2 linked regions of the Coturnix japonica genome follow. The protein of the gene in region 1 interacts with the protein of each later gene in a pairwise test. Links are inferred from orthologs where the notes say so. Each region holds a gene or a part of one and is shown on either strand. Other genes may lie near its edges.

Evidence for each region.
Region 2: the proteins of DUSP12 (region 1) and EIF5 interact in binary tests that used the Homo sapiens proteins (3 or more experiments, as listed by UniProt). The two-hybrid records come from large-scale screens. The link is inferred for Coturnix japonica from reciprocal best matches to the Homo sapiens genes DUSP12 and EIF5.

What each region holds. Positions count from the first base shown.
Region 1 is NC_029516.1:70,998,962-71,003,067, forward strand, and holds the start of DUSP12 (dual specificity protein phosphatase 12), read left to right. Parts: upstream 1-1,288; 5' UTR 1,289-1,344; coding exon 1,345-1,595; intron 1,596-1,690; coding exon 1,691-1,804; intron 1,805-1,877; coding exon 1,878-1,996; intron 1,997-2,552; coding exon 2,553-2,649; intron 2,650-3,108; coding exon 3,109-3,295; intron 3,296-3,874; coding exon 3,875-4,036; 3' UTR 4,037-4,106. UniProt on the Homo sapiens protein: Dual specificity phosphatase; can dephosphorylate both phosphotyrosine and phosphoserine or phosphothreonine residues. Can dephosphorylate glucokinase (in vitro).
Region 2 is NC_029520.1:45,677,773-45,682,100, forward strand, and holds the start of EIF5 (eukaryotic translation initiation factor 5), read left to right. Parts: upstream 1-1,490; 5' UTR 1,491-1,617; intron 1,618-1,795; 5' UTR 1,796-1,989; intron 1,990-3,875; 5' UTR 3,876-4,083; coding exon 4,084-4,155; intron 4,156-4,328.

The DNA of each region.
Region 1 (4,106 bases):
TTCCCAGGGCACAGCTTTGCCACGTGTCATCTACAGGCTGCAGACTCTTCTTCTCATGAAATAGTTCATGTGTACACAAGGATTTTCCTTTCCATGAAGGCCCAGGCCCTCCCTTGCAGCACATGCTGAGATGGAACATTCTTACTGGAGGCAGTGGGCAGCAGTCTGCCCTCCAGTTTGTTTTGCTTTGCACCTGAGCTTGCTTCATTACTCACACAGTTTCCCAGAATCCGGGGGAGAACAAACGGTTAGAAATTTCAGTGGCGTAGGAGAAGACAAAAACCGAAGAGGGGGGAGGCAGAGGTGGGTGGGGAAGGTTCAATCAAACCGAAAACAATATTGACTCTATTTTGAGAGCTGTGAGCAAACTCGGGATCCATCGCCATATGCTCAAGCTACAGGTGGCAAGCACAGCAAAGGGAGGCGAAGAGAAACGGCTGCATTGTTTAGGGAGCACAACCCCAGACACAAAGAGCTGCCCAGGGGCTTTCCCCCACCACAGATATTCACTTTGAAGTTGTAGGTTTTTCATGTTCCCCCAGCATCCCCAGCTCTGGGAATTGATGCACCACACCACTCCCTTCTGCGCCTCAACTCTGTCTGTCGCTTTCGTCATTGCAAAAACAGTCACAGATGCTACTGTTCACCCCCACAAATTCACATTTGAAGGCCCACAGACACAATTAACCACCTCTTAGTACTCATCCAATCCCTGTACAATATGTCCCTGCCATCAAACACATAGTCCCTTCACTAAGGTGTACTCGCCTGCTGACTTTATTCAACCCCTCAAGACTTGAATAACTCAATGTTTCACCATAGTATTTTGCTGCAACTGTTAGTTACATCTCACTTCAAGCTGTAAATGTGTTGCATGGCAATGTTTTGCACAGGTATCCTGCTAACACACCGTGTTCTCATCTATGAGAGCGTCCCACTTTTGGCTGGGATTATTTTCTTCCCAGCAGCTTGTGCTTTGGATTTAGGATGAGAATAGCGTTGATAACACATGTATGTTTTAGTTGTAGCGCTGCAGAGAGCCAAGGACACTTCAGCTTCCCACACTGCTCTGCCAGCAAAGGGCTGGAGCTCCACGCTGCCTCTACTGGCTGTTGGGCTGAGGTGTTCAAGACCAGGTTGGACGGGGCCCTGTGCAACCTGATCTAGTAAATGTGTATGTTTGGTGGCCCTGCCAGGCAGGGGGGTTGGAACTACATGATCCTTGAGGTCCCTTCCAACCCGGGTCATTCTGTGATACTGTGTGATTCTGTGAACCTCCCCCTTCTTGGGACCGCCGGAAGCCGCCATTATGGGCGGGACCGGAGCCGTAGCCGGGGCGGCGGGATGGTGCCGGTGCTGCCGGGGCTTTACGTGGGCGGCGCGGAGTCGTGCTCGTCCTCGAAGGCGCTGGAGGCGGCCGGGGTGATGGCGGTGCTGACGGTGGACGCGGAGGAGCCGCCTCCGGTGCCGGGGTTGCAGTCCTTGTACATCCGGGCGCTGGACGAGCCCGGCGCCGACCTGCTGAGCCGCCTGGATGAGTGCGCTGCCTTCATCGGCGCGGCGCGGGCGGGCGGCGGGGCCGTCCTCGTGCGGTGGTGAGGGTCGGGGTTGGTGGTGCGGTGTGGTGTGTTGGGGCCGGCCGCCCCGAGCTGCTCTAAGCCATCGCTTCGTCTCCGCCTTTCGCCCGCAGCCAGGCCGGAGTGAGCCGCAGCGTGGCCGTGGTGACCGCGTACCTGATGAAGACCCAGGGGCTCGGCTGGGAGGAGGCCTACGCCGCCGTCAGGGCCGCTAAACCCGACGCTGAGTGAGTGCCCCTAACCCGGCACCCCCAGCCGGACGGGCCCGGTCTCAGCTTGCTCTCCTCTCCCGTACCGCAGGGTGAACCCGGGCTTCCAGAGGCAGCTGAAGCTATACGAGGCCATGGGCTGTGTCGTGGACAGCAGCAGTGCCCTGTACAAGCAGCATCGCCTGCAGGTGCTCACGGAGAGGTTCTCCGGTGAGTGGGGCAGCTTGGGGATGCCTTGTCCAAAAGCCACACCGTGTTACTGAGCCCTGAGCTTGGGATGAGGCAGGATGCCCAGGGAGGTGGTGGGTGCCCCGTCCTTAGAGATGTTCGAGGTCAGAATGGAGCTGGTATGAGCAATGTGATGGAGCTGCAGATGTCCCTGTACACTGCAGGGGGTAGGGACTGGATGTCCTTCAAAGGCCCCTTCCAGCTCAGACGATTCTGTGAGTCCTACTGCTTGCTCCTGAGCAGGGTACTAAGTGCTCACATGCAGATGTGCCCATGGCAGCCATGCGGTCTGCTTCATGCTGCATTGGACAGCACCAGGCGCCCACTTTCTGATGTGCAGCTGCTTTAAATTCTGACAGTTCCCAGTCTTAAGTTATATGCCGTGATCCATGACCTCTGAGCCCTGCTGCTGTGGCTTGTAGCTGTATTCAACTGGCTGTGGATCAGATAGACCCCTTGTGTCTGGTGTGCTGCATGAGGACAGCATGGGACATCAGTGCCTTTATCAGTCTGACTTACAACTCTGTCCCCTCTGCAGATCTTCAAGACTTACCCCAAGAAGTCTTTGCTGTTGATCCAACCAACACACACCAGACTCCAAACACAGAAGTTCTCTATAGATGCAGGAAATGCAGGTACTGAACCTTTTGTATTTCCCACAAAATGTCACTTTGAAATGATCTTGAGAGGAAAATAACCTGTGTCAATCAGAGGCCGTGTCGTTATTTCTGGAACAGGGATAAGATCTTGTGTAAGTTTCCCTACAACGCATGTCACAGCAATTAAACAAGCACAAATACATGATGAAATACAAAACTCAAAGTTGTGCAGCACTCGTGCACCCTAACTTGCCACATTACGCAGGCGGGTGTAGTTTTGCTTGAATACATGATACTGCTTGCTCTGCAGTCATATATTGTAGCATACAGTGGTAAAGCAGAGCCCAGGGCTATGCAGATTGTAAGATTTGTTAAGATGCAGCCCTAAATGGAGTCAGTGCCTGCCTATGGAAAGATAAGGTCCTTGTCCCTGTGCTCTCTAAGCTTCACCAATAAGTGTTTCACCCTTTTTCCCCCTCTTGTCACGGAGAACAGGCGCGCTTTGTTCCGTAGCTCCAGCATTTTGTCCCACATGGAAGGAAGTGGACCAACAGCCTTTGCTCACAAGAGAATAACGGAGTCTATGCATCTTCGTGGCAGTGGCCCTGCTAAGTGCACCTCTTACTTCATTGAGCCTGTGCAGTGGATGGAGCCAGCACTGCTAGGAGTAACAGAAGGACAGGTGAATGCATTTTTTGGATATCTTAGCTGAGGTAAAACAAACTGTTGCTGTTCCTTGATGCGAAGGCCCCCACGCAACATCCTAGGTCTCCCAGCCTCTCCTGCATCAGCTTTGCAGCTTATGAACAGGTTCTCAAATGTTAGAATATCCCTGTATAAGGAAGTGAGCTGGTGATCTTGTTGGATTGAGTATGCTAGGAAGGATATTTGACAGGTTTTGGTTGTTTTTAGTATATTGGATTATGAGACATATAAAAATCCATTTTGGTCTTATGCTGACCAAGGCTTTCTGATGTCTGAGACTGGCAAGTGTTCTGGAACCACACCAGGTCTGAGCAGCTGCATTTCCATGTCTTCCCTTCTGCTAGCACAGCTGCCTGTCACACACTGGGGCATTGGCAAGCTCCAGCTGTGCCTATACAGCTGTTGTTTTTTGGTGTTTTTCTTTGTCCTGTTTTTCAGACTGTTTAACTTCTGTGAAATGCTACAAGTGCTGGCTTTAGTGCAGGTTGCTGTAGCTTAATGTACCATAGAATACATCTGCATGTATCTTACAATGGATTATTTGTTTTTCTTGCAGCTTCTGTGTCCCAAATGCACATCTAAGCTGGGTTCCTTTAGCTGGTGGGGTGAGCAGTGTTCTTGTGGCCACTGGGTGACCCCTGCCTTCCAGATACACAAAAGTCGAGTAGATGAAGCGAGAACTCTGTCAGTTGGTAACTTCCCCGCTGCCAAAACCTGAACTCAGAGCCTCTTTCAATGGATCTCTGAATGACCACAGACAAATTCCAGCTACCCTGGGTTTGCCAGGA
Region 2 (4,328 bases), on another chromosome or scaffold:
CAACAAAGCATTTCTGTGATAAGGAAACACACACTCTAATTAATATCCACTGCTGAAAACTTCCTTCAAACAGGAAGGAAAAGCTAGGTACCAAGGAGACAATAATCTACCATTGTAGTCTGTTTTCTATAATGCAAGAGAGTATATTCTAACTTTCCTGCATGGGTTCTGCTTTTGGCAGTACGGATACCATCTGAAAAGGTAACTCTTAACTTGATGTCAGATTATGCACCATCAAATTGTAGAAATCCCTCTTTACGCTACTAATCATAACTGCTCAGTTATTCATGGTGTCAAGCAGCACCAGTTCCAGGGGCTCGTTTCCCTTCTGCTGTTCAATAAAGTGGTGTTGGCAGCAATATGCTTTAACACTTGCAATTTATTAACCTCAGAGGTGTAGTAGCATGTCAGTAAAGCCACAGAAAGGAGGCATTTAGTAAGTTATGCACGCTGCATATTTTTACAGCTAAGGAGTTCCTGCTGTGCTTTTCTTGCCTCCCACATCTTTATGATGATTTTTTCCCCTCGTGATAACTGCCAAACCTCATATCCTTGGGAGAGTTATTCCCTTGTTTCGCACTAACCCTCTTTCTCATGTTTAAAGAGGCGCTGCTGTGTGTTTCTCAAGGAAGCATTTAAAATAACCTGTTACATTTTTCAGTAGCTCCAAGTCCAAACCAGGCTTACAAAGTGTTTTACAGGACATCATCCTGCCTACAAGGATGTGCTATCGCATGGGCTGAAAGGAAACCTATAAGTAGGGCAGCAGTGATGATGCAGATGATGTAGGAGGGTCTTGTAGGAAGATGGTGAAGAATATCACAGAATCACAGAATTATCAAGTTTGGAAAAGAAGATCATCTAGTCCAACCATCACCAATACTTCCAGGCTAAATCATATTCCTCAGCTGTATATCTGCTGTAAGACACAGCCATAGGAACTGGGGCCTTGTGGCGCTGCCTGGCAGTCCTTAAAGCACTAAGAGCTGATGGAGGGTTGGTTGTGAAGGACACTTAGTAGGTGATGGGGCAGGGCTGATTTAGATGATCTTAGTGGCCTTTTCCAACCTTAATGATTGAGTTTTCAGAAGCTTTTTGCCCCTTGAATGTTTGGAACCATCCAAAATACGTAATTCTCATTGTATGGGAAGGCAGAAGACTGGAAAATAATAAAGGGGAAGGCCCCAAAAGCTCATAGCTTCGAGGTATACACAAGGCCAGGTAGGGTCCCAGCAGAGGGGCTGAGGGCAGGGTTGGCCCCTCAGCAGCAGGAGAGCGAAGCGGCCACCCCCCTCAGCCCCGACCCCCCGCCCTGACTGAGCCCCGCGCCCGCCGCTCCCCGCAGCGCCATCCCGCGCAGTCTCGCGAGACCCGGCCGCTGTAGACGCGATGTCCTTTGGGGCACTGGGGGGGTGGGGGGGGGAGGGAAGCGAGACGAGGGGTGGATTGATCGATAGCGGCTTTGACCAATAAAAGAGAGGAACGGAGGGCCCTGAGCCAATAGATTCATCCCAGGGCGAGCGGCGAGCCAATGGAAAGACTGGGGAGGCGGGGCGTGCCGCTGGCTGATTGATCCCAGCTTTGGCGTTGTTCAGTCAGAGCGAGAACATTCTAGAGGTGAGTACGGGGCGGCCATTGCTGGGGTCCCATCAACCGCCCCCTTCTGCCCGAGCTGCGCGCCCGCCGCCGCAGCTCCCTCCCCCCCCTTCCCTCTTCTCCCCCTTCCTCCTCCTCCTCCTCCCTTTCCTCTCAGGATCCGGCGCTGACGATGCCCCTGGTTGTGTCTCCTCCTCAGATTGTCCGGCATTGCTGTCCCTGCTCATAAAGCCCGTCACAGGACGCCCGGACACGGAGGCTGCGGCGTCCGCCTCCGCCTCCTCCCCCCGGCCGGATTATAAGCGCCGCACGGCCTCGTTCTCATCGCACACTCGGCTTCATCGCAGCCCAGGGCGAGCAGCGTTGGGTTTATGTCTTTATTGGACGAAAACGGTGAGTGTGGGGGTGGAGGTGGAGCGGGTGGTTGGGCCTTGGGAAGGGGCGAGCGGGCTGGGCTGGGCTGGGGCGGCCGTTGGTGGACGGGCGGCTGTGAGGAGCCGTACCAGGGACCCGCCAGGAAGGAGAAGGAGATAAGAGTTGACACATTAACCTCTTACCATCGTTGGTTTGATGTTCCCGGTGGCTGTTTAGCGTTATTTTTTATTTTTCACTCGATATTTCCCCCCCCCCCCTGCGCCATGCGACGAGACAAGATGGCGGCGGCCGGGCCGCGCCTCCCCGCGCTGTGGGCGGTTGTGGGGGTTGGAGCTGTGGCGCAGATACAGGCTGAGGGGGGAGGGGGACAATGATCCACAGCGGGGGGGAATGGGGGGAAATGGGGGGAGAAGAGCAACAGGAGCATCCCCCCCCCCCCCACTTTAGAGCTGGGGAACGCATGCGCAGTTGGAGGTTCCCCCCGGTCTATTCCGGGGCTGAGTCAGTGCTTAATTGCTGCATTTATGACTCATCACGGGCCCGATTGGGGCGGGGAGTGTTGCTGAGCGCTCTGCCCTCCCTCTTCTTTTTTTTTTTCCCCCACTCTGTGTGCGGCATATTGGGGGGGGGGAGGGTTGCTTGCTTGGGAGGAGGAGTCCCAGGGAGCAGGGGAGGGAGCTGCAGCCCGCAGATAGAAGCCGTGAGCTGGAAGGAGGGGAAGCGACACGTTAGCTCTGCGAGCTCACAGAGGTACTGCTTCCTCATACTGCTTCCTCAGCGCTTCTCAGGCACATGGTCGGGTCACATGGGGGCTCTTTTTTAGCCACTCTGAGGAAGGACGGCTTGTGCTGAAGAAGGGTAAAGCTGTGTTGGGACTAATACATAATACATAGTGTACACATAATCTGTTTGCTCCTCGTGGAAGGATTTGTAAACCTGAACAGAGCACAGAATGGCACTCTTACACAGGAACATGGAGGAGTCTGTTTTAATGTGTCAACACTCGTGTGTCATTAACGATAACACGGTGACGTGTCAAAGTGAGCACGCTGCAGGCTGGGCTGCCAGCCTAGTCAACCAGTTGTGGCTTACGTAACCTTAGATCTGATTACAGGGGCGCATGTTTATTTAAATATGTAAATACTGCTTAAGGCAACTTTAATAACAGGATTCATCCTCCTTCCCCCGAGAAAAAAAATGAACTGGAGAAGCTGTTGCACTGCTCTGTACCTCTCTGCGCTGCTAGGCTTTCTATAGTGAAGCAGTTTATGTCAGGATTTATCAGGCTTATTATTAAGTCAAAACTCCACAGAAGCTGCTATGAGAACCTGTAAGTGAGAGGGAGTATCACCTAATTTTCCTCTCCGAGCCAGAAAACTGGTAAGCCACGTAATAGTACTATTGGACTGTGGATTGCTGCTGCTTCAACTTAGGGATATTTCTCAGCTTTCTGACAATCCGCAGTTTATTTAATAGGTTCATGTGATGATGCAGAAATTGAGTCTGGTGTTCTTCTCCCACTTCCCTTTCCACTTTAGCGTGGACCGTACCACATGACCTTAGTGTAAGAGCCCTTGGACTTCATTAATCGGCCAGTGTTCCTTTTCTTACTGATCACAGCTGTCTTGCGAGTTAATTGTACAGAAAATACTGTTCATTTACCCATTGTTTTTTAGGGAGTAAGGTAGAAGAGAACTTAAAGTTCTGTAGTGTAGGTGAGGAAAAGCTATTCAGCAGTGCAGTTCAGGGCTATTGTCTTCAGCTTCACAGGCTGAAGAATGGTATATAATAATGAACTTAGTTTCCCTACCCATAAATATAGTTCCTTGTATAGCTGCATTGCAAGATTTTATTGGTGTATGTTACAATGAACTTATTGCTTTTCTGTCTGTTGATGTTTGCAGAGCTGTTGCGCAGCCACTGGTACCTGTATTGGGGAAACATAGCATACAAGCAAGAACCTTACAGCCTCAGTGGCGAAAATTTTTTCATGTCAGAGACCGAGAACTCTTGCAGTCGTTTATGTCATCCCGTCTTCTCCAGACAGAAGATACCAAAAAACTGCAATCAAAGATCTCTTCATCTTATTGATAAAGCTACTAATAAGGCAAAATGTCTGTCAACGTCAACCGCAGTGTTTCAGATCAGTTCTATCGCTACAAAATGCCCCGTCTGATTGCCAAGGTAACTTAATAGCTATTAGTGATAAGTAGATAGGGTTTCACATTGGTTGCTTTCTATATAAAGGAATGGAGGTAATGATATCAACCCCAGCCAATCATAGGGAGCAGATGTCTGCATCTTTCTGTCTGAACTAATTGTACATTAATGCCTCTGAAGTAGAACATTCAAAACAG